Linked DNA regions of Oryctolagus cuniculus. The protein of the gene in region 4 interacts with the protein of the main gene of each other region in a biochemical or structural test. Links are inferred from orthologs where the notes say so. Each region holds a gene or a part of one and is shown on either strand. Other genes may lie near its edges.

The links.
Region 1: of the proteins of SNCA (region 4) and FYN, one has a biochemical effect on the other in vitro, tested with the Homo sapiens proteins (3 studies listed by BioGRID). The link is inferred for Oryctolagus cuniculus from reciprocal best matches to the Homo sapiens genes SNCA and FYN.
Region 2: of the proteins of SNCA (region 4) and NEDD4L, one has a biochemical effect on the other in vitro, tested with the Homo sapiens proteins (3 studies listed by BioGRID). The link is inferred for Oryctolagus cuniculus from reciprocal best matches to the Homo sapiens genes SNCA and NEDD4L.
Region 3: the proteins of SNCA (region 4) and SNCAIP form a complex in vitro, tested with the Homo sapiens proteins (3 studies listed by BioGRID and IntAct, with this or other methods). The link is inferred for Oryctolagus cuniculus from reciprocal best matches to the Homo sapiens genes SNCA and SNCAIP.
Region 5: the proteins of SNCA (region 4) and APOE form a complex in vitro, tested with the Homo sapiens proteins (2 studies listed by BioGRID and IntAct). The link is inferred for Oryctolagus cuniculus from reciprocal best matches to the Homo sapiens genes SNCA and APOE.

Annotation. Positions count from the first base shown.
Region 1 is NC_091436.1:59,710,852-59,715,086, reverse strand, and holds the start of FYN (tyrosine-protein kinase Fyn), read right to left. Parts: upstream 2,808-4,235; 5' UTR 2,354-2,807; intron 1-2,353. UniProt on the Homo sapiens protein: Non-receptor tyrosine-protein kinase that plays a role in many biological processes including regulation of cell growth and survival, cell adhesion, integrin-mediated signaling, cytoskeletal remodeling, cell motility, immune response and axon guidance.
Region 2 is NC_091441.1:20,111,255-20,115,402, forward strand, and holds the start of NEDD4L (E3 ubiquitin-protein ligase NEDD4-like), read right to left. Parts: upstream 2,809-4,148; 5' UTR 1-2,808. UniProt on the Homo sapiens protein: E3 ubiquitin-protein ligase that mediates the polyubiquitination of lysine and cysteine residues on target proteins and is thereby implicated in the regulation of various signaling pathways including autophagy, innate immunity or DNA repair.
Region 3 is NC_091437.1:12,007,100-12,011,397, reverse strand, and holds the start of SNCAIP (synphilin-1), read right to left. Parts: upstream 2,808-4,298; 5' UTR 2,672-2,807; intron 2,573-2,671; exon of another isoform or gene 2,497-2,572; intron 2,267-2,496; exon of another isoform or gene 2,124-2,266; intron 1,757-2,123; exon of another isoform or gene 1,612-1,756; intron 986-1,611; exon of another isoform or gene 772-985; intron 1-771. UniProt on the Homo sapiens protein: Isoform 2 inhibits the ubiquitin ligase activity of SIAH1 and inhibits proteasomal degradation of target proteins. Isoform 2 inhibits autoubiquitination and proteasomal degradation of SIAH1, and thereby increases cellular levels of SIAH.
Region 4 is NC_091439.1:75,753,335-75,757,628, reverse strand, and holds the start of SNCA (alpha-synuclein), read right to left. Parts: upstream 2,804-4,294; 5' UTR 2,076-2,803; exon of another isoform or gene 1,319-2,075; intron 1,285-1,318; exon of another isoform or gene 887-1,284; intron 597-886; 5' UTR 572-596; coding exon 451-571; intron 1-450. UniProt on the Homo sapiens protein: Neuronal protein that plays several roles in synaptic activity such as regulation of synaptic vesicle trafficking and subsequent neurotransmitter release.
Region 5 is NC_091449.1:11,763,898-11,767,930, forward strand, and holds APOE (apolipoprotein E), read right to left. Parts: upstream 2,801-4,033; 5' UTR 2,758-2,800; intron 2,028-2,757; 5' UTR 1,990-2,027; coding exon 1,947-1,989; intron 1,659-1,946; coding exon 1,484-1,658; intron 1,187-1,483; coding exon 466-1,186; 3' UTR 377-465; downstream 1-376. UniProt on the Homo sapiens protein: APOE is an apolipoprotein, a protein associating with lipid particles, that mainly functions in lipoprotein-mediated lipid transport between organs via the plasma and interstitial fluids.

The DNA.
Region 1 (4,235 bases), on a different chromosome or scaffold from region 4:
TACAATCTATACAATCTACTCATTAGCTCTATTGCCTTTTTTTTTTTTTTTTTTTTTTTTTTTTTTTTTTTTTTTTTTTTTTTGGATAGGCAGAGTTAGACAGTGAGAGAAAGAGAAACAGAGAGAAAGGTCTTCCTTCTGTTGGTTCACCCCCCAAATGGCTGCCACAGCCAGTGTGCTGTGCAATCCAAAGCCAAGAGCCAGGTGCTTCCTCCTGGTCTCCCATGCGGGTGCAGGACCCAAGCAATTGGGCCATCCTCACTGCCTTCCTGGGCCACAGCAGAGAGCTGGAGTGGAAGAGGGGCAACCAGGACTAGAACCCGGGGTGCTGACGCCGCAGGCAGAGGATTAGCCAAGTGAGCCATGGTGCTGGCCAGCTCTATTGCTTCTTTTTCTTTTTAAATCCTTAGAAAGTACAGGAGTAAATGTTTAACAAATCATAACCGCTCTTCCCTAATAAATTCTTGAAGAATAAACTTGAGATAGTTCGGCTATTTACAATAGTTAAGGAGCCATGCTTTTGACCATGAACGGGCCAGACCAAAATTTTGATATCAGCTAAGTGTATAAGTGCCAGAGCGGCTTACAGAATGGAATATAAAGCTCCCAGATTTACATGAACATTTCCTCTTTCAGAGGAACATCAGAGGGTTTATCAGAGTTCACTCAAAAGAATCTACATCCCCTGTGCAGAGGCTCAGGTAGTTAAACCACTTCCTCCAAAAGCTGCAAGGACTCCATCTGAAAGCATGGTACCCAGGGGGCAGGGACCGGGGAGAAAGACACGAAGGGTGGAAAGTACTGCAGTAACTTGGGTGGTGAGAGGAAGGATGTGGGTGTCTGAAGGTTACTGTGAAGCAGGCAAGAGACAGTCTCCAGTCTCCTCAACGCCAATTCAATGTTTTGATGTTCTCAGGTACTTGCTTAAATAAAAGGGTGAAACAACATCTCTGGGCAGACAAGATCTCATTTCAAAAGATTAGGACAGTGGCTTGAGACTTGCGAAGAAGAGAGTCAGCTTGTCAACACCAATTTCATTGATTCAGAAACAAGATTCTTCTGAGCCCACACCAAATTCCTTCCACCCCAGCTTTTAGTTATCTACCCCACAAAGGGGGGGGGGGCACACACGGAGGTGGGGACCTTAAGAGTAAAGCAACTTCAAGAAGGCTGGAATAACTGTCCTCTTACATCTAAGAAATCCTGCAGCTGCCAGTCAACACTGCAAGTCTGTGAATACACCAAAGTGCCCGCACCTGCCAGCCGGCATCTGGAGGGCTTTTATTTATTTATTTATTTTTTGGTAAATGTGGATAGAAAGACTCTTGAGAGAAGATGGACTGCTTCATAAGCAAGAAAGGGAAGCCCCGGGGAAGAGAAACCAGAAGCATCGTGCCTATCCTTGGGTACTTTGTGTGTCTCCTCTATGCACTGAAAGGGCTCTTTGTGCCACACACACACACACACACACACACACTCACACACGGCGGGTCTGGGTGATTTATTGGGGGAAGGAGGAGCCAGAAGGGTGATTTTATTATCCCTCTCCTCAGTGAGTCCCAGCAAATCCTCTCCTGGGCCTTGGCTGGGTGGCCTCTTTTCTGGCCCAGTCCCCTCGGCCTGGCCTGTGGCCGCAGAGATAAGAGAGGGGAGGGGACCAAACAAAAACAGCCATCGATCCAGGGAAGTCGGGAGGAAATGCAGCTAGGGAGCCGGGAGGGGAGGAGAAAGGAGGTCCAGGGAGCAGCAGGGGTGGGGGCCGGGGGGCCGGGAGTCCAGGAGGCGAGGGGACAGGGAAGGCGGGCGGCGGTGGCACTGGCAGAGCGAAGGGGAGGATGGCGGAGCGCGGGAGGTGCCAGGAGTGGGTTGAGGACGCGAGGGGAAGGCGACGGCCCCGAGGGCGGGGACCGCGAGGTGGAGTGGGGCCGAGGTGGGTGGGGAGGGAAGCAGCACGGGGCATCAATTATTAAGTGATTACATCATCCCCGACATTAAACAACACACACAGCCCGGTTCCCGCGGGGGGCCCGAAAGGAGGGCGGGGGCGGAGTCTGGGCTAGCCTCGCCCCCAGGTCAATTCCGATTTTCACACGGCACCCGCTCGCGGGCAAGGAAAGGGCCCCATCCCCACGCTGCCTCGGGGCCGCGCCCCGCAGAGGTGGCCTCGCTCGGCCGCGGGAAGACCCCCCGCACGCGCGCCCGCGCGCGGCTGCCCCGCTGGGCGCTCCGGAGGCGGCGGTGGCCACGGCCCAGCAGCCGGGCACCGCGGCGGAGGCGGCTGTGCGGGGGCGCCGGCGGCCGGGGGTCCCCGCAGCATCCCGCGGCCCCCCGCGCCGCATCTGCGGCCGCTTACCTGCGCGGCGCCAGGCTCCGGAGTCCATTCACATGGTCCTCTCCTCGCCGTGGTCGGGCGCGGCCTTGGCGGCTCAGGCAGCTGCCGGGTGGGCCCTCGAGAGCGCCGAGGGGGCGGCGCCGGGGGGCGGGGGTCCCCGGCCCGGCGGCCCGATCCCTCCCTGGCGCGGGCGGCGGCCGCCGGGCGGTGCGGCGCGGGCGGCGGCTTTGTGTGCGCCCGGAGAGTCCTGGGCGCGCAGGGAGAAGCGCCGCACCCGGGCGGCTGAGGACGCACGGCTCCAAGCGCAGCCTCGCCCCTGTTCCCGCGGCCGGCCGGCGGGCGGGTCTCGGAGGCCTTGGTCTCGCGGCGACCCCTCCTCCTCTCCCGCGGCAGCCCCCTCCCCGCCGGCTCCGCTCCTGACAGATGGCGCAACTGCAAAGACGCGCCGCCGCCGCGGCTGCTCGCAGCGACTCCCGCTGATGCTCCGGCCCTCGGGCTCCAGAGGGGAGCGAGCAGGGGGCGGGGGCGGCCCCGAGAGTGGCAAGGCTCGCCGTCCTATCAGAGGGCCCCGTGGGAGATGCGAGCCTCAACCATTGGTGTGTGCGGAGGGGGCGGGACGGCCCTGGGTGGGGCCGCGGAGAGGGTTGAGCGTTACTGTGGCAGCGGCATCCCGGCGTGCGTGCGGGGTGGGGGCGCGGGAGGGTGCGCGGGAGGAGGTGCGGGTGTGTTTTAGAGACTGGGGAGCTGTGAGTTAGGGGAAGATCAGGGCGGGAGAGCGTCCGTGGGAATCGCGGCTTCTGCTTTGCAGAGGAATGCAGGTGCTACTACAGATTGGCACCTGCCACTCCTCCGAGACCACGGGAGCCTGCGGCGGGAGAGCCTTGCCCTTTGAGGGCGGGGGGTAAGACGGAGGAGCGTTAGGCTGGTGACTGCAGCCCTTCCTCGGATCGAACTGGAGAAGCCCCGGAGAGCCCTGGAAACGCGCAACAGAGGACGCGAAAGAAGAGGAGACGAAACTCGGGTTCTGCCGTGGGTCCCCCGTTTTCGTGGACACACATATTCGCATTTCTGGCGAAAGTCTGGAGCCAGTGCTGCTTAAACGAGGGCAGGGGTGGGCGACGACCCGGGAACTCGAAATCACAGAGCAGAGGTTTCTTTGTGCATTTTCCCCAAATCATGTCTAATTGTAGCCGTGGGTTGTCGTTGGTTTCTCCTGTGTTTTTCCCTCCACTGAGTCTGGGCGTCTGCTCGGATTTTCCTTGATGAAATAATAGGCGGGTTCGTATACAGCTGGGAGTGCATCAGCCTTTATTTCCTATCCAGCTTTTCTATGGCAGGATGTCACTTCATAAAAAGAAACACGTTGGCTTCCTGATTTTCTTTATAGGTAATTCCTGTTTACTGAAAGTTCTGCTTTAAGGCGTGTTCGGAGTCGTTCTTCTTAATGGTTTTGGCAAGAACCTTATATCCTTCCCTCTCAGCAAATCACACGTTCTTAGAAATATAGTGAATCAGCTCCTGCATCTATGCTCAAAATCTATACCATTGCTTTCCTGCACACTTCTTTTCTTTTTGCTGTAGTTTAAAATATGTCGGTCATTTTTGTAAACAAAAAAAATCCCTTTTTGAAAAATTTACTAACATTACACCATCTCCATTTTGTGAATGAGGAAATTGAAGGAAAGCAAAGTTGAGTAACTAACTCAAAATGATAGTATACAGTGGTGACTTTTTTTTTTCTTTCTCCTTAAACAAAATGAGAAGCCATGTTTCAGTTGTGTCTACTAATTCGTTCCATCGTCCCAGGAAACAGAATGAGAGCTAACACTAGAATCTTTTCCATATGCTAGAACTCCAGCTTCCGTTTAGTCAAGAATCGCTTATCTCACGGAAAGGGGCTCTT
Region 2 (4,148 bases), on a different chromosome or scaffold from region 4:
AGCGACAGATAGCAGAAATAACCCAAGTGGCAAGCGGCATTCCAGGCATGATTGGATAAGAGCAAGGAGCTCTCATCCGCGCTGGGCCGAGGGTAGGGTGGCCAGGAGCACATGACCGCGCGCTCCCCCTCCAATGCCAGCTTGTGGACTTAGTGCGGTTTCCCCCTTCTCCTCCTCATTTTTTTTTTTTTTTAAACAGCGAGGGCCTGAAACAGCACCTTCCCAGCTGTTGCTTTTCCATCAGCAAGGAGTGGCCCCAGCAGGGAGCTCTCGCAGCTGCCTAGGGCAGCAAGCACCGGGACCCTGGGCTGTAAATCTCCCAGCACTGCGCTGGCAGGACGCTTCTCTCCCAGCGGAGCGGAGCGGAGCCCTGGGACTGTCCGGAGGGCGCCGGGGGCCCTGCACTGCGTACAGAGCGCCCACGGGGCTTCCCAGCTCCCACCACCCCAGGCAGCGACAGGGAAACGCGGCGGGGGCTGCGCGAGGGGGGAACCCCTTCCCCAGGCGGTGCGCGCTGTGTTTCTGTTATTTATGATATCACTACCCTACGATGCCGGAATGCAAACTCGTAAAACGTACTATAAATACGATTACACGCCCCCACCGAATCAGGGTCCCCCTCCTGAGAAATAATTAGACCGTGATCTCCAAGGAACAAAATAGCTCCGTGGAGAGACAGAGGGGCACAACTCGCTCTACGGCCATTTGCCGGCCCCATCCGCCTGCTGTTAGGACAGTTTTCAATTAAAAGGCCTGTGTGTGTGCATGTGTGTGTTCCCCTCATTTATATTATGATTATCAGACGGGGAAGCAGCAAAGGACAGGAACTCAGCTGGTGAAAATATTTGCTTACACATGCCAGGTAGGATTGGGGGAAAAAAAAAAAAAGAAGGAAAAATCAAGCCGTGGTGTGCATGGGGTTTCTGCGGTAATTTAAACACCATCCAGAAGAAATGCTTTTAGGGGAGCTGTTTTCCAGTAAAAAGTCGGCAACATTGCCACAGTTGGGCTACAACATGGAATCCTGATATGTGTGCAAGGAGCCAGACGGGACCTAAGAAATAAAAGTGCACATTCAAAAAGCTGTCATCAGATTTGCAGTTCGCTGGGAAATATTCTGAGCGCTTTAAACTTAACTTTTCTATGACCCAGAAACATCAGTTATTTAACAAAGGTTTATTTAGGAGGGGGTAAAAAAAAAATTAGGAGGGAAAAATGCCAAGCTGTGAAGAGTGACAAAAAGTTTATTTTAAAATCTGCAAAGCATGACTTTGTCAACAGCTCTGGAGCCCAGGGTGTGGAGGCTTAACCCTGTGTTTACACACACACCCCAAGTGTGTTCTCAAAGCATGGGTCTTACATGCCCAAAATGACCTGAGAGAAATGGGAACTCATTTGTTTAAGGCTGAGACTTCCAAGTGCTGCTACAGACATGGATTATCTTTGTTGCATTTATAGCCAACAAAGGAAAAAACATCAGCAACACTACAGATGGCCTTGGGGGCAGAGGTGGGAATTAGTAAGACACAACCTTTCAAATAAAGCCTGGGGTCGTCACTCAGGATCTCCGCAAATCTGCCCATTCGAAGCCCATTCTGAAGACTGGCAACGCAGTTTCCCACCCATGGCAAGGCTGGCTCCACCACAGGCATTATGGTAGACCATGGAAATGGAAACTTAACTTTTAAACAGTGGATTTTTCGTAACACAAGAAAAATAATGAAAAGCCATCACACTCAGGAAGGTGAGGATTAGCCATGGGCGTCTCCCAGAGTGCAGGGACCTGCTGCTACCTGACTACTGCTAACCCTAACCTGACCACGGTCTTCTGGAAAATACTCCCAAGCATATGGGATCAAGCATCCTCCCAAAGTCTTTAGCAAGGGTCAGTTAGCTGGCTGTTGCACCACGGGGCTGAGACCTAGGAGCCCAGAAAGTTGGACCTGGCACTTGCTCTGACTGATGTATTCCGTAATCTGGAGTGCCAGTTGAATTCTGGAGAAAGAGGGGTCCATAAGAACGTTCCTTTTCATCAATCAACATACGTAAGCTTCCGGAAAGGTAGGTTTCAATCCAGCCAAGTGCGCTGGGTTGTAACAGAGGGTACTGGAAGGCCTTACGTGATGGTGTTCACTGTCACAGAGGGAACACGTGGTTCCCAGGTAACTTGAGGGATACGTTCTGGTTAGTTAAGCAAGCAAGCTGCTTCAGCCAGGTTTTGCTTCTAAAATGAAATCGCAGATTTCATACACATGAACGTAATATGCACACACACCAATCTATATATAAAATGTTCACTTATACCATTTATATGCCTCGGGCATATCTTTGGTTTTTTAAAAGTACTAAGGTTCTCTCTTAGGAAAGTACCACTTTAAAAATACAACTTCATTTCACCTGCTAAGTATAGATTCACATTATGTTACATACTGTTAATTAATTTTTGTTTTCCTAGAATCACCATAGATTTACTATTAATGGCATCACAATGTTGTAGTCTGGCTTCCACTTTTAAAACCCCACAAGGCTGGCTTACACGCCTGATGGCCCCTTTACAAATCTGCCCACATCCGGTACATATTCCCAGCACCACTGTGTTAAGCATACAGACTGAAACCATCACCAGTGACTGCCACTGATACTCACTGTGATGAAAATACACACATCCCATAACTCCACTGCCCTAACAACACAAAAACAGAATCTTTACCGGCAGTAAAATAAAAATGGTCTTCCCTTGGGTTGTGCATAGTGTTCTAAGCTCTACACAAATACAACATTTGAACGATGCTGCTCCAAAACTTAAAAGTGGAGACCTACTTACCAGTCTATTTTCGTCGAAAACTTCAAACAGGAGTCTGTGATTAGATGGGTTTACCTGCAAGGGATGCACACAGTACTTCAAAAATGAGCAAGAATTCATTGAAAGAATAATGCCTTAGAATGCACTGAACTGAGCTGTGCAACATCAACAATTAGCATGCTCTTCTGGAAATTCCGGAACACTGATATTATCAGTTTCTGCATTATTCTACCCCCGATACTCAGGCCTGTTAGAAGAAGAAAAGGCTCTTGGCTATTTTTCTGAAATAAGAAAGGACAATTCTAAACACCTTTCAAGAGTTCCTAATCTCTACAAAAGGCATTCCCACACCTGCAGACCACATCTTCACCAAGACCCCTGCCTGCAGGAATCGTCCTGGCCTAATTATAGCAATGGTAATGATAAAAATTATGCAATGAAGAGAATGCTCCTCTCACTTATTTGCATTTATTTGTAGGCACTCTCTCCTGGTTAAACACTTACAATATGTGATTTAATCCTCACGGCAACCCCACAGTGTTTAGCATCCCAATTTGACAAACGAGGGGCTGAATCCATGAGGGTCAAGCAGGCTATCCCAGTCAAAGCTAGCGTGGTGGGTGGCCAGGCCCCACGCAAGTCTGGCCTGCTGTCTCCAGGACCCAGGTGGCAACCTGCAGAGAGAGCTGGGAATAAGGGATGCTTCTCCGCTCAGCAACCTGTGGCCAAGGTCAAAGCTACTGCACCTGCAGTGTCATTTTTGCTTCTTTCTTGTTCTTTACCAAAACCTAACCCAAATGGTCTTGGTGCTCACGCACACTCGGCGTCATTTAGTAACAGCGAGCACCCACGAGACATGGTGCTGCTGTTCTGATTTACATCATCACACGTAAACCTGGAAACCATCCTCTCCCATCTGAGTACTTAGAGCCTTTGGGTGATGTTTCCAGGGTCACAAAGGCAGGAAATGGTAAAGCCAGAGCTGTGACCCAGGCAGGACGCCTTCCAAGGCCCCGGCTGCCTCAGAGAGAGAACGGAACTGCTTCACATTTGACCACACGTGTGCAGAAGGCTCGGCTTTCTGCTCTGGCCCCTTGACCTTTCCGCAGTCCACTGACCGAGCCAGCAGGTGGACAGTGGGCTTCTTGTCTGCTCCTGAGCCTGGTGAAGGGCCGAGCTGCTGACCAATGCACCTGCAGGCTGCAGCAGGAGCTCGCACAACAAAGATGTGTGGAATGAATAAAGGCACACACTCAGGAAAAGAAAGGATATCCACAGCCAAGATTGGTTGAGAAAACTTTTGAATGAACTACAATTTTCATAAATGTGGCCAAAGTGTTCTCCA
Region 3 (4,298 bases), on a different chromosome or scaffold from region 4:
TTCCATGTACACCTGCACTACAGTAAGGGCCTGCAACTAGCAAAGATGGGATAGAGCAGAGAAATTCATTTGCTCTGGTCACTTCCTTTTAACACCAACAAACAGTAAATGTCAAATTACTAAAACATTCCCAATTTACTATATTACAGCCTTTCCCTCCCCCACAAAATACTTACTATGGAAAAAAGAAAAGTTATATTCAAAACAACATCCCTTCTTTTTAAATCCTTTCAGTATTTTATTTCTGTGATGTCCAAAGATCCTTAATATCTTCAGATCTTTTCTGGTTCCATACCCAGAAGTCACACATCTTCGGTCACTGATTACTACGCCCTCCAGAGGCGTAAAACTTGAAACACATTCAAGGTGTTTCCCTACCCCCTAACCAAGCTGTAAGTACATTAACATTGAGATGCATCAGAAACAGCCTAGAGGCAGGTGTTAAGCCACTGTCCCTGACACCAGCATCCCATACCAGAGCACAGGTTCAACTCCCGGCTGTCCCACTTCCCAACCAGCATGCTGGTGACACTCCTGGGAAGGCCGTGGAAGACGGCGCTTGGGCCCCTGCCACATATGTGGGAAACCAGGATGGAGTTCTTGGCTCCTGGCTTCAGCCTGGCCCAGCCCTGGCTTTTGTGACCATTTGGGGAGTGAACCAGTAGATGGAAGCTCTCTCCCCATAATTCTCCCTTTCAAATAAAAAAATCATAAAAGAGAAGGCAGCCCACCCTCAAAGAATGCATACATTAGCACACTTGGGTCCTGTACCTTCTTCTCTTTGCCTTGACTGGCCCAGCTCCGGCTGCTGGGGCCATTTCGGGAGTGACCCAGCAGATGGAAGACATCTCTGTCTCTCCCCCTCTCTTTCTGTGAGTCTGCCTTTCAAATGAATAAACAAATTAATAAAATAAAATGAAATTTTCAAGATGTACAAACGCAATACAAATGGGAACTGGGGTCAGCACTCCATGCTCCATGATAAAAGATATATATGTGTGTATATATATATATATATATATTTTTTTTTTTTTTTGCCTAGGATTGAGGCATGAAAGCAGTGTCTGCAAAGTGTGTGGATTGACACCTGGGAGACCTGACACGGCCTGCACACACATGCAGCCCTCCTCAACCTCCCCAGGCAGCCCTGATGTGTCTGCTAACTGCGCCCTGGCCGCGCTCCACGGCACGTGGTGTGTGGCGACACTGCCCCGCAGCGGGGCTCTTTGATGGGCACTTGTCAGTCATCGCCCAGAGGAGCGCCCGGCCTCGAGCCGGCCAAACGCGGCCCCGCGCTGCCAGGCTCCCCTAATGAACTTTCCCAAGGAAAGCGACGACGTTCCCACAGGAAAAAACAACGCGCTTCCCCCTCCCGGCGGCCCACTGGAAACCAGCAACAATGCCGCTGCCTTTTTGTTTCCTAAAGACTTTTCTTCTTCCCCGCGAGCAGCAGCGTGTTCCTCAAAGAATGCTAGTATTTCCTGTGGAAACTGTATGGCTGCCAGCAGCGGCTCGCAATTCTCCCTTTTCTTTTCGTCAAAACGAAATACACAAAACGTGGCAGCTGACAATAGCCCCCCCCACACCCCCGAGCCGGTGCCCCCCACTCACCACCACCTGCACGGGAAAGTCATCGCCCCCGGAGCCAAGGCCCAGCGACACGGTCCCCGCCCGCGCCGCCACGCGCGCCCGGGGCGCAGGACCGCGCCGGCGGGGGCGCCGGGGGGCCGCGGGGTGCGGGCGGGGGGCTGCGCGCCCGGTGCCCGGCGCCCCTCGCCGCGGACCCTGGCGCCGGGCACTGCTGCTGTCCCGAGCCCCGCGCTCGGCGGCCGGGCGCCGCCGCTCCGCCCCTGCCCGCAGCCCGCACACGAGCCGAGGCGGCCGCGAGAAGAATAACCCGCGAGGCGCGCGCCGAGGCGCCGCACAATCCCGCGGCCGCCGGGCCGCCGCCGCCGCCGCCGTTACTATAGCGATCTCCCCGCCCAGGGCCCGCGCCACTCGCGGCACAAAGGGGGCCCGCGGCTGGGGCAGCAAAGGGGCGACACCGCCCGGGGTCGCCTGGTGCAAACTTGGAAAAGGCTCGACCGATCGATCGCGCGGCTGGTTCGGGGACCCGGACTCACCGCGGGGTGGCGGGGTGGCGGGGTGGCGGGGTGGGGGGAGATCGCGTGGAGAGACGGACGGACGGACAGACGGACGGACGGACGGACGGACAGCGGCGGGAGCTGGAACAGCGCGACCAGGCGGGCGGACGGGCGGGCGGCGGAGGCGCTGCCGCGGCCCCGCTACGTCACAATGCGGCCGAGCCGCGGGCGCCGCTCCCCGGGCCCCCCACGGGCGCGCGCGGGCGGGGGGCAGCCCCGGGGCCGGCGCGGACACACGGCTGGGGGCCGGAGGCGCGGCCGCCGCGGGCCAGGCTGCGGGAGCCGCCCCGCGCGCCCGAGTGACAGAGAGCCCTCCCCGCCCTCCCGCGCGCCGCCCCCGCGCCGTCCTCACCGCGGCCCGGCGCCGGCCCGCCAACCTGCTCGCTCTCCGCTACCTTTCGCTCCACCGCCTCCTTTTCCCTGGCCAGGGCCCGCCTCTCCTCCCCGCCTACTTTGTGGCCCCCGCTTCCCACTTTCTCCTCCCCGCCCGCCGGCCTCGCCCCCCTGGAAACGCCGGCGCCCCTCACCGCGCGGGCCGCGCGTCCACGGCTGCCGCCTCCCGCACGCACGCCCGGGGCCGGGGTGAGGGCTGGGGGAGAAATTCGGGCAGGGTCCCGGCGACAGCGACGTCTTCCGCCCGGCGCGGAGCTGCCAGCCAGCCGCGACCCCTCCGGGGGGCTTCGCTCGGAAGGCTCCGTGCGCGGTGCCGGGGGTGGAGGAGGAGGAGGAGGTTTGCTCTGAAGTCGCGGCTTTCACCCCAGCCCTTCGGGGTGCCGACGTCCACGCGCGGCTACATTAACTTGACTTTTGCATCGGTGGGCCGAGGCGGGGGGCGGCGGCGTCGTCTCTCCTGGCTTCCGAGATGCAGGCTCGCGACGACCGCCGCGCGGTTGCTGCCTTGGCAAAGCTCTCCATGGTTTTTAAGACATCTCCTTCCCCCGGGCGAGACGCCGCCAAGTTGGCTCGGCAGCGCCCGTGAGGACCACCCTCGGGTCCCCCGGGCGCGGCCACTGCTGGCCGGCAGGGCGCTGCCCCCCGGCGACGGGGAGGAGGCTGGTCCTGGGCGGTGTGGGGCCGTCCTGGCTCCCAGGCCCGCCCCGGGGGACGAGATCCCGGGCACCCCAGCTCCGTCCGGGCGGTGGCAGTGGGCTCTGTGTCCTGCGTGGGCCTGACGGGGACAATCCGCGATGGGAGGGAAGACGCTGGCTCTTGAGACTGGGTCGAGTCTCCCCAGGAAGGGGCAGGTCCCTGCCCTGAAATGACCAGGGCGTTGAGGTGGTGGAAGAAGGTTCACTTGCTGTGAATTCCACTTCCCACTGAAAATCTCAAATTCTCTCTCGGCTTCTGCCATGAACAGCCGAAGAGTGTGTCCTGCGCTGTTGTCACGTGTTTACTGTAATTTCTCATGTATGACACTTCACATAGGTGGAAAGTGGTTTCACAATTTTAAAAACACACGTTATCCCGCAGTAGAAAATATAAAATCAGATGACATCATAGGGTGCTAAAAATACTTGAAAATATTGGGTTTAATTCACTCACATCTGGTTAAAATAAAAATGCTTTTTTTTTCCTAGTGTAAACTCTGAGAAAAGCACATCGTGCTTCTATCCAGTAGATGGAAATGGTGTCGCTGTTGACATGACCAATGAGAACTGTATTTTCAGTCCCTTCGTCTTGAATGTTTTGACACCTTGTTCTTTTATTAAATCAGATTGCACTTTATTGATAGAATCATTGACTAAGGAATTCTAACTATGTATCTCTTCCAACTGTCCTAAAAATCCACTGGTTCTAACAATGAGCCAGGTGTTAACTCAGTATCAAGGATTCAACCAGAAAAGACTTGGTTGTGTTGTCTGAACCAAAAAAAAATGGGTTGTCCTGGAAAAAAATTGTTATTATTTTTTTTTGCATAGCCAAAGCAGTTTTGCATGCCGTCGTGTTACAAAGTCATCTTTAAGATGTTTCAGATAGTTTCCCCTGTTTTTTGGAGTTCTTTTGTTATGTTTTTCTGTTTCCAGCATGTTTTTGATTACATATTCAAAACCATTGTTTCCATGAGATGATTTTTACACTGTGATTTCAATCGGTGCCTGTATACACTTTCCCACGTAGGCTGAGAGTTTGCTTTGGTCTGGACTGCGTGTTGGT
Region 4 (4,294 bases):
ATCAAAGTCTTATTTTATAATTGCCAGACATTAAAATTAGTAAATATTATTCATCATGATAAAAGAGATCAATAGTCGATGAATTATTTTGATCATTAGAAATGTTTTAATTTTTTAAAAAAGGACTAAGTTTTCCAAACAGCCCTCTGAATACAGCCACTCATTCATTGGGGAAAAAAAGGATAAAAAAGTTCTAAGTGTTCTAAGTGTTACTGCAACATTTAAAAATCTGGGGAAACAAAAGATTAGCCACATTTTCTCACGATTAGCTCAAACATACACCTTCACATTCACCTACCTACCCAGTCCTCCGACTCAATCCATCCTTTTGACAAGTGATGATGCAAGAACGAATCACGTGAGAAATGTCAGCATTCTTGTATCCATCATTGTAACTAATCAATCAGGGACCAGTATCAGAATGACATGGGAGGTGGGGGGGCTACCTACCTACATAGAGAACACCCTCTTTTGTCTTCCCTGCAGCCTCTGCCACACCCTGTTTGGTTTTCTCAGCGGCAGCCACAACTCCCTCCTTGGCCTTTGAAAGCCCTTTCATGAACACATCCATGGCTAATGAATTCCTTTACACCACACTGGAAAACACAAAATACATGCTGAGTGAGAACTTTTTGGTAAAAGCAAGCAAAATTCAAACCATCCAAGCTAAAAACAAAACAGAAAACGAAAACACTAAAAATCTGTAGAAATCCCCAAAAGCGTGAAAACTCTTTGACGTGACCCCTCATTTCAACCACCTGGACAAAGCAGTCCGCCCCTCACTCCCACCCCAGCCCACTCCCCTTAAGCTTTAGCTTTAGGAATTTCTCCTCCCCCATCCATCTTGACTCATGCTGACCAGGGAGAGCATCTGAGCTGTTCTTACTGCATCTCAGAAGTGGAGTGGCAGGAACAGATGCGCCCTTCTTCCAACTTCCCAGGGTCCAAAGGGTGACCCTCTAAGTCAGCAGGAGGTTTAGAGGAAAGACCTCAGGAAAAGGACGGGAGCTGGGGGCCATGGCCAGGCGCATCCTTAAAATGAATCCCAGAAGAGGGGTAACAGGTTGATCCCAGGGGAGGGAAGAGCACTACTCACTCTGCATGTGGTTAAACCGCAAGACAACAAGGAAGGAGCCAGGGGACGCTCCTCTGAATCCACGGTGCCCTCCACCTCCGCCCTCTGCTATCTATCCGGAGCAGGCGCTGGTCTTCACCCGCTGGCAGCGTCCACACCCCTGCCAGCCACACTAAAGGGCGTTCTCAGCCGCACCGCACCCCCAAGCACACCTAGCGCCTGCACCTGTTAACCCCTTCCTACCTGTTGCCTTGTCCCCTCTGCACTTTATTTAGAAATTGGCCAAAGCTGTTTCCTCTCTTCTCGGGAAACAGCGAAAAAGCGGCCTACGGGGTGGCGGTTACCGTAAGAGAAGAAAAGTTGGATGCTCTTGCTCCACCCAGCACCCGGCGCTTCCGCGGGGAAAACGCACCCCGGAGAAGCCGCTGATTTCGCAGCCTTTGGGGAGGCCGGGGAGAGCTGGGTCAACATCCACTCCTGACGTGCACGCGAGGGACCTGCACGCCCCACCAAGAGCCTGGACACCGCGGTCCTGGGGTGCACCCTACCACCACCCCGCGTCCGCGGCGGCTCCTCTGCCTTCCCGGGTTTCTCCACGATTTCCAAAGCTGCCCGTTCAGAGCCACAGGTACTCACCCGAGAACTCTGCTTCTCCGGGACTCCGAGTCCTCCCCTCCCCCCCTTTCCCTTTAATTTAAACAAGTGCCAAATATTATTTAAACGGGCCAAGGGAGGGGACGGGAGCGCACAGGAAGGGCGGAGGCGGCGCCAAGAGACGGATGATCCCCAGAGGAGGCTGCCGTCAGCGCAAGCCAGCGACGGGAGGCGGGGGACGTGGGAGGCACACGCGCGAACCTCGCGTCCAATTGCCACTCCCCGTCCCCCGCACGGAGGATGGGGGAGGAAGAAAGCGAGGGTCGCGAGGGAAGGCGGGCGGAGGGCTGGAGGTAGGCGCAGGGCGGGGCTGCGTCCCGGGGCTGCCCAGAGGCCAAGCACACACCTCGCTGCGCGTCAGCACACACTCCCGCTCCGCCGTCGTCCCGCTCGCGGGCCCCTGGTCGCGGCCGTCCTCCTCCTCGCCGTCCTCCTCCACCTCCTCCTCCGGCGCCCGGATCTCCTCGACTCACCGCCCCCACGGCTGATTTGTCAGCGCCTCTCCCCGCCCCTCTCCCGCGCTCGCTGCGCTCCCGGCGCGTGCTCTCGGCTCTCGTGCTCCGTGGGGAGGGGGTGCGGGGCAGGTGGCCCCGGCCACTGCAGCCGGCCGCCTCGGCCTGGGAGGCGTAAAGGCGCGGGGCCCGGTGCTTCACCGCAGGCTCAGAGGCACCGGGAACGTGCGGACCTCCGGAGCGCTTTGGCTCGGGCTGAGGTCTCTTCTTTCCACCCGCTCCCTCGCTGTCTCCTTTCCTCTGGTTTCTCGGGGACCTCGCTCCCAGCAGAGCCTAACCCTGGGGCTTGGGGACCGAGGAATGGGCGTCGCAGCCGAGCCTGGCTCCGGGAGCGGACGGAGGAGACACGGGGCGCGGCGGGGGCGCCTGCACCTGCCCCGCGTCAGCCCGCTTCCTGACACTTAGCACACGGCCGAGGGGCGCCTCGTGCAGGGTCGCTTTTGTTCGAACATCCTCGAGGTTTTCTGTTCTCGCTTAACCCCGGGTGAGCCCGAAAGGGTCCCGCGGGCAGGCTGGGGACCACCGAGCAACAGATACAGGTTCGGGAGGCACGAGGGGACTCGTCAAATCGTCTCCCTACCAGGCTCTCACCATTTTCTTTTCCACCAATCAGCGGCTGCCAGAAGCTGATTTTTTTTTTTTCCCCATCTGTGAAGCAGGCAATAAATATTCCCCAGCCGTCGAAAGCGAGCGGCCCCAAGGCTTTTCGCTCTGGAAACGCGGCTTCGTTTCCAGACCCCAGGACAAGGTCTAGGAGGCAAATCCAACGTGGTGCACGTTGCCCTCCGAGCTGACACCCCCTCCCCTTACACGGCACACGCGAGAGAGCCCCCGCCGATTTCTGCGTCGTTTAACGCATTTTCACCCTTGTCAGTGCTGGGTGGAAAACAGCTGTTCCTAGATCACACCAGAAGGGAGAACCAGGCTCCCCCCCTCCAGCAGAAGGCCTTGCTTTCCTGGCCCGGTTCTTGGAGATGGGCTTAGCACGGAGGGGAGAACAAGGCTCTGCTGCCTCGTTTGTTCCTTGGTCTGTTTCTGTTTTTCTGCCGCTTGCACGCATCTGGGTTCTGAAATTTGAGTCAGATGTGCTTTCCACCTATAAAGCACAACTTGAAACCACAAGGGATGGAAGCTAACGACTACATAGAAAGGATAGAGATAGCTAAATATATAGATTGTTAGATAAAAGATGGATAGATGACAGGTGACAACCAATACATAAGAAGGGGAGGGGATGGTGGTAGAAAGAAATGATACAGATAGATTCCGAAGAAAAAAAAAATGTGAAAATTAGATCACAAGTATTTATCACTTAATAGATCCTCACACTCCTTGCCTCCCTTTTGAAAAACAGCCTTTGGACGATACAGCCGCTCATATTTTGTTTTCCTGGGATCAGAGGAAGAAAGCAGACACGGGAGCTAGTTTGCCATCTGATTTTAAGGCCGTGAGCAAGTTATGTCCTCCTGTTTACAGCTTTTCCTCCTGTAAATGAGGAGGTGAACTAGATGATCCCTCTCTTTTCAGTTTTTTATTATGGAAAATTTTCAGACATGTACAGAAGTAGAATCAAAGACTCTCACATGAGTATCACCCAACTTTCACAATGTTTCAATGCCTGCCTAATCATATCTAACTATAAACACTCCACTTTATCGCTACCAATCTTCATTTTTAAGTAAATTCCAAGTTTTATATGCATATTTTATCTGTAAACATTTCAACATGGATTCACAAAATGTAAATTATGAAACAATAATCACCATAGCACTTGAGAATTTTTATTCTTGGTTATAATTTACATAGAGTAAATGCTCAGCTCTTAAGTGTCGCTATGTGTCCATTTTGAAAAATCTGCACTATTTGGAAAACCCAGAACATTTTCATCACCCCACAAAGGTCCCATGGACCCTTCTTAGGTGTGTACATTCTAACACTTCATCAAAATGGAATCATAAAGTATGAACTTTATTTCCTATTTGACTTCTCTCTTCTAGCATAGTATTTCTGAGACTCATTCATGCTGTTACATGAATCACTGGTTTGATTTTTT
Region 5 (4,033 bases), on a different chromosome or scaffold from region 4:
AAATACACAAGGCTTGGGGTAGGGGGAGTCGGCGCTGTGGCTCAGTAGGTTAATCCTTCGCCTGCAGTGCTGGCATCCCATATGGGCACCGGTTTGAGTCCCGGCTGCTCTACTTCCGATCCAGCTCTCTGCTATGGCCTGAGAAAGCAGTGGAGGGTGGCCCTAGTGCTCAGGCCCCTGCGCCCATGTGGGAGACCCGGATGCAGGCTCCTGGCTCCCGCCTGGCTCAACTTTGGCAGTGGTGGGCATTTTGGGGAGTGACCCAGTGGATGGAAAGCTCTCTGTGTCTGTCACTCTTTCCAGTAGTGCATCTTAAAAAAAAAAAAAAAAAAGGAGGCTGAGCCCCATGGGAGGAATCACGCGGAGACCCAGCAGCTGCTGTGGAGGTGGTGAATTTTATTAAGGGGGGGCGTCCACCGGGGCGGGGAGGCGGGGCGCGCGGGGCGGGGGCGGCCCGCGAGGCGCTCACTGGTTCTCGATGGGCGCCGCCGCGGGCGCCTTGCTGGGCATGGCGGCCTGCAGCTTCTCCACCAGCCCGGCCCACTGGCGCTGCATGTCTTCCACCAGCGGCTCGAACCAGCTCTTGAGGCGGGCCTGGAAGGCCTCGGCCTGCAGGCGCATCTGCGCGGCCTGCTCCTCCACCTTCACCCGCACCTCCTCCACCTGCTCGCGCACCTCGTCCAGGCGGTCGCGCGCGCGGCTGCCCACCTCCTCCAGGTGCCCGCGCAGCCGCTCGCCCCAGGCCTGCGCGCGCTCCCGCAGCGGCTGGCCGGCCAGGGTGCTCACGGTGGCGGCCCGCAGGCGGCCCTGCTCCAACAGCGGCCCGAGGCGCTCGCGGATGGCGCTCACGCCGCGCTCGGCGCCTTCGCGGGCCCCGGCGCCGTACACCGCCATGCGCTTCTGCAGGTCCTCGGCGTCGCGCAGCAGCCGCTTGCGCAGCTTGCGCAGGTGCGAGGAGAAGCGCGCGCGCAGCTCCTCGGTGCTCTGGCCCAGCATGGCCTGCGCCTCGCCGCGGTACTGCGCCAGGCGGTTGCAGACGTCCTCCATGTCGGCCTCCAGGCGCGCCTGCGCAGCCTGCAGCTCCTTGGACACGCGCGCCCGCGTCTCCTGCGCCATGGGGCTCAGCTGCTCCTCCAGCTCCGACTTGTAGGCCTTCACCTCCTTCATGGTTTCTTCCATCAGCATCCTGCGGGGCCCAGGGGGCGGGAGGGCGGGCGTGAGCTGGGGAGCCAGGGCTGGGTGCACGCTGGCAGCGACCAAGGGGCCCCAAGGACCAAGCGAGGCCCAGAGGAGCCGGCGAGGAGGAGGGGGCTTGGGAAGGTGCGAGACAGCCGGAGAGGTCAAACCGGAGTCAGGAGTGGGAAGAGGACGCAGGAGCAGGGCCCCCGACCCCAAGGACGCAAAGGCATCTAGACTGGCCGAGGGTGCAGAGGCGCCCCCCGCCGCCCCCCAGGAGGCTCCTGGTCAGGGCGGGGACACTCACGTCAGTTCCTGGGTGACCTGCGAGCTGAGCAGCTCCTCCTGCACCTGATCAGACAGCGACTGTACCCAGCGCAGGTAATCCCAGAAGCGGCCCAGGGCCAGCTCCCAGGGCTGGCCGGCCTTCCACCTGGCCTGCTCCGGCACCTCCACCTCCTGCTCCGTCTCGGCCCGGCATCCTGTGCGGGAGCAAAGTGGTCAGGGGCCGTGCGGGGTTCGGGCCGCGGGGGCAGAAGCGGGTGGGGTCTCCGCTCAGTCGGCAAACACTGATGGGCCTTGTGTGCATTAGGAACTTCAACGCCCATTTTATGGGTGGGGAAAGCCGAGGCCCGGGGGAGAAACAGCGGCTCAGAACCGCAGCAGGCCTCAGAGGTCTCAGCTCGGCGCGCCTCCTCCCCAGGACAGGGGGCTGGAGTGCGGGCAGGGGCCGCGCAGCAGGGGAACCCGAGAAAGCCCCGCCCCCATACCTGCCAGGATCGCCGCCGCCAACACAGCCCACCACACCTTCATCTTCCCGCCTGCGGTTGGTCAGTCTTGGGAGGAAGAAACTGTCAATCAACAGCGGAGGAGGACGGTCCCCTCCCCCCCGCCCCGGAGCCCAGCTCCGGCTGCGCCCGGGCCCAGGATCCCCAAGCCTCGCCCTGGCCCCTGTCTGTGACAGCCTTAGTCCGATCACAATCATTTCACCAAGCCGCCCCTGGGGGGCTGCACAGCTCCCGCATTGTCTGCTCCAGTCTCCCCATCCTCCGGCCGGCTCCGGGGCCAGAATTCCATCTCCCTCTCCCAGGGGTCGAATTCCACTCCCCCAGCCCCCCCACCCCCGAGCTTTCTGGCTCCAGGCTGGGCTTCTTGAGTTCCATGTCGCATTCCTCGTCCCGCCGTCACATTCTAAGCTCCAACCTCACGTCTAAGCCCTACTTGCCATGTAGGAGCTGATTGAACCACGGTTTTTAACAAGTCGGTCTTGGGACGTAGTCCCTGTTTCCCGAGACCCCAGTTGCGGAGATGGGGTGCCGGGAAGGACAAATAAGTGGCAGCAACCGCCCCAGGGCTCGCTGTGGCTCCAGCTGCTGCCCCACCCCAGCCCCAGCCAGGATGGGATGTCCCTGCCTGAGGTCCAAGCCCTGCTTCCAGCCTCAGCCCTGCTCGGCCGTCCTTCTGTCCCGACGCAGGCACAGGCCACCACGTTCTCTCCCACAGCCCGTCCCCAAGTCGCTCCCTTGCCCTTGGACCCCCCCTTTCCCTGGAGGCCCCTCAGCCCCCCGCTGTGCTGCTCACCGCCTCCTGCGGAACCTCGCCTGCACCTCGGCTGGGGCAGAGCAGGGCGGCAGGGATCCCTGACGGGTCCAATTATAGGGCTCCCCCTGCCCCGCCCCTCCCCGGGGCCAGGGCGGGCTGGGCCAGCCCCCAGTCACGAGGTGGGCTGTTCTCCCCCCTCGCACACAGCAGGGCGAGGAAGGAGGTGGGGCTTGGAGGCCCCGTGACCCCCGCCCCCAGCCCCTAGGAAGGGAGGGGCGCCTCCCTCGGTGTCCCACGTCCTCTCCACTGGGGTGCAGGCGGGGACTGGGCCGGCTGCTGCTCCAGCACGCCTTCCCTGTGCCCGGCTGGAACTTCTGGGTTCTGGGAATGGATGGGGCTTAGGACCCCCACCCCCCAGGGCCTGAATGAAGTCGGAGTGGAGTCTGGACTCCCGGCTTAAGTTAGGGCACAGCAGGAGCCCAGGCAGGGCTGGGGGCAGCGTGATGAAGGCCAGCGTCCCACGGTCAGGGTTTCTGTTCCAATTCCCTCCCAGGCGGTGCAGGTGCGAGCCTCTGGGACCCCCCCCCTTGTTTACTGAGATCGCAGCACCTGGCTGGCAGAGGTGGTGGGCCCGCCCGCCAGGAGTCACCCACACGTCCTCTTCCTTGCAGTTTGCAGGACTGTTGGGGCTTGCATCCTGGCACTGCGCGCTGCCAGCTGTGTGACCTTGGACAAATGACCTCCCCTCTCTGAACGGCCAGTTCTTTGCCTGCACAACCAGGCAAGCAGCGGCATGCGCCCCGCAGGTTTGGTGATGCAGGAGTGAACGGCGCGTGCCGAGGCCAGCGCCCTGCACACGGTGGGCCCACACCTGGGCAGCCTAGCGCGCTCCAGCAGTCACCTTCCCATGGGCTCCTGCCCCCAGCTGTCCCAGGGACTCAAGGCCCAGGGCTGGGTTGGGGGCAAAGCCGCAGCAGGCACTGGCAGTCGGCCCTGTTTCTCAAGGCGCAGGGGAGGCGGCCTCCCCAGGTAACTCGGGGACATCACCCAGCAGCCTCCTCGCCAGGCCTCGGGGCGCGGGTTGGCCAAGTGCTGACAGCGCCTCCTGCGAGGCGAGCGGGGCCGCACCCCTGCACCGGGACTGTGTCGCTCCAGCCCCAGATGCAGCAGTCCCAGTAGCTCTGCTTGAGGCTCCAAAATTCCAGACCCGCCTCTTCTGGAAATCTGCGGAGGCCGGGGGCCCAGTTCCCTGCCCCGTCTGCACGCAGCCATCCGCTGCCTCAGTTTGCAAGGACAAAGTCCCCCAGGCTGCGGC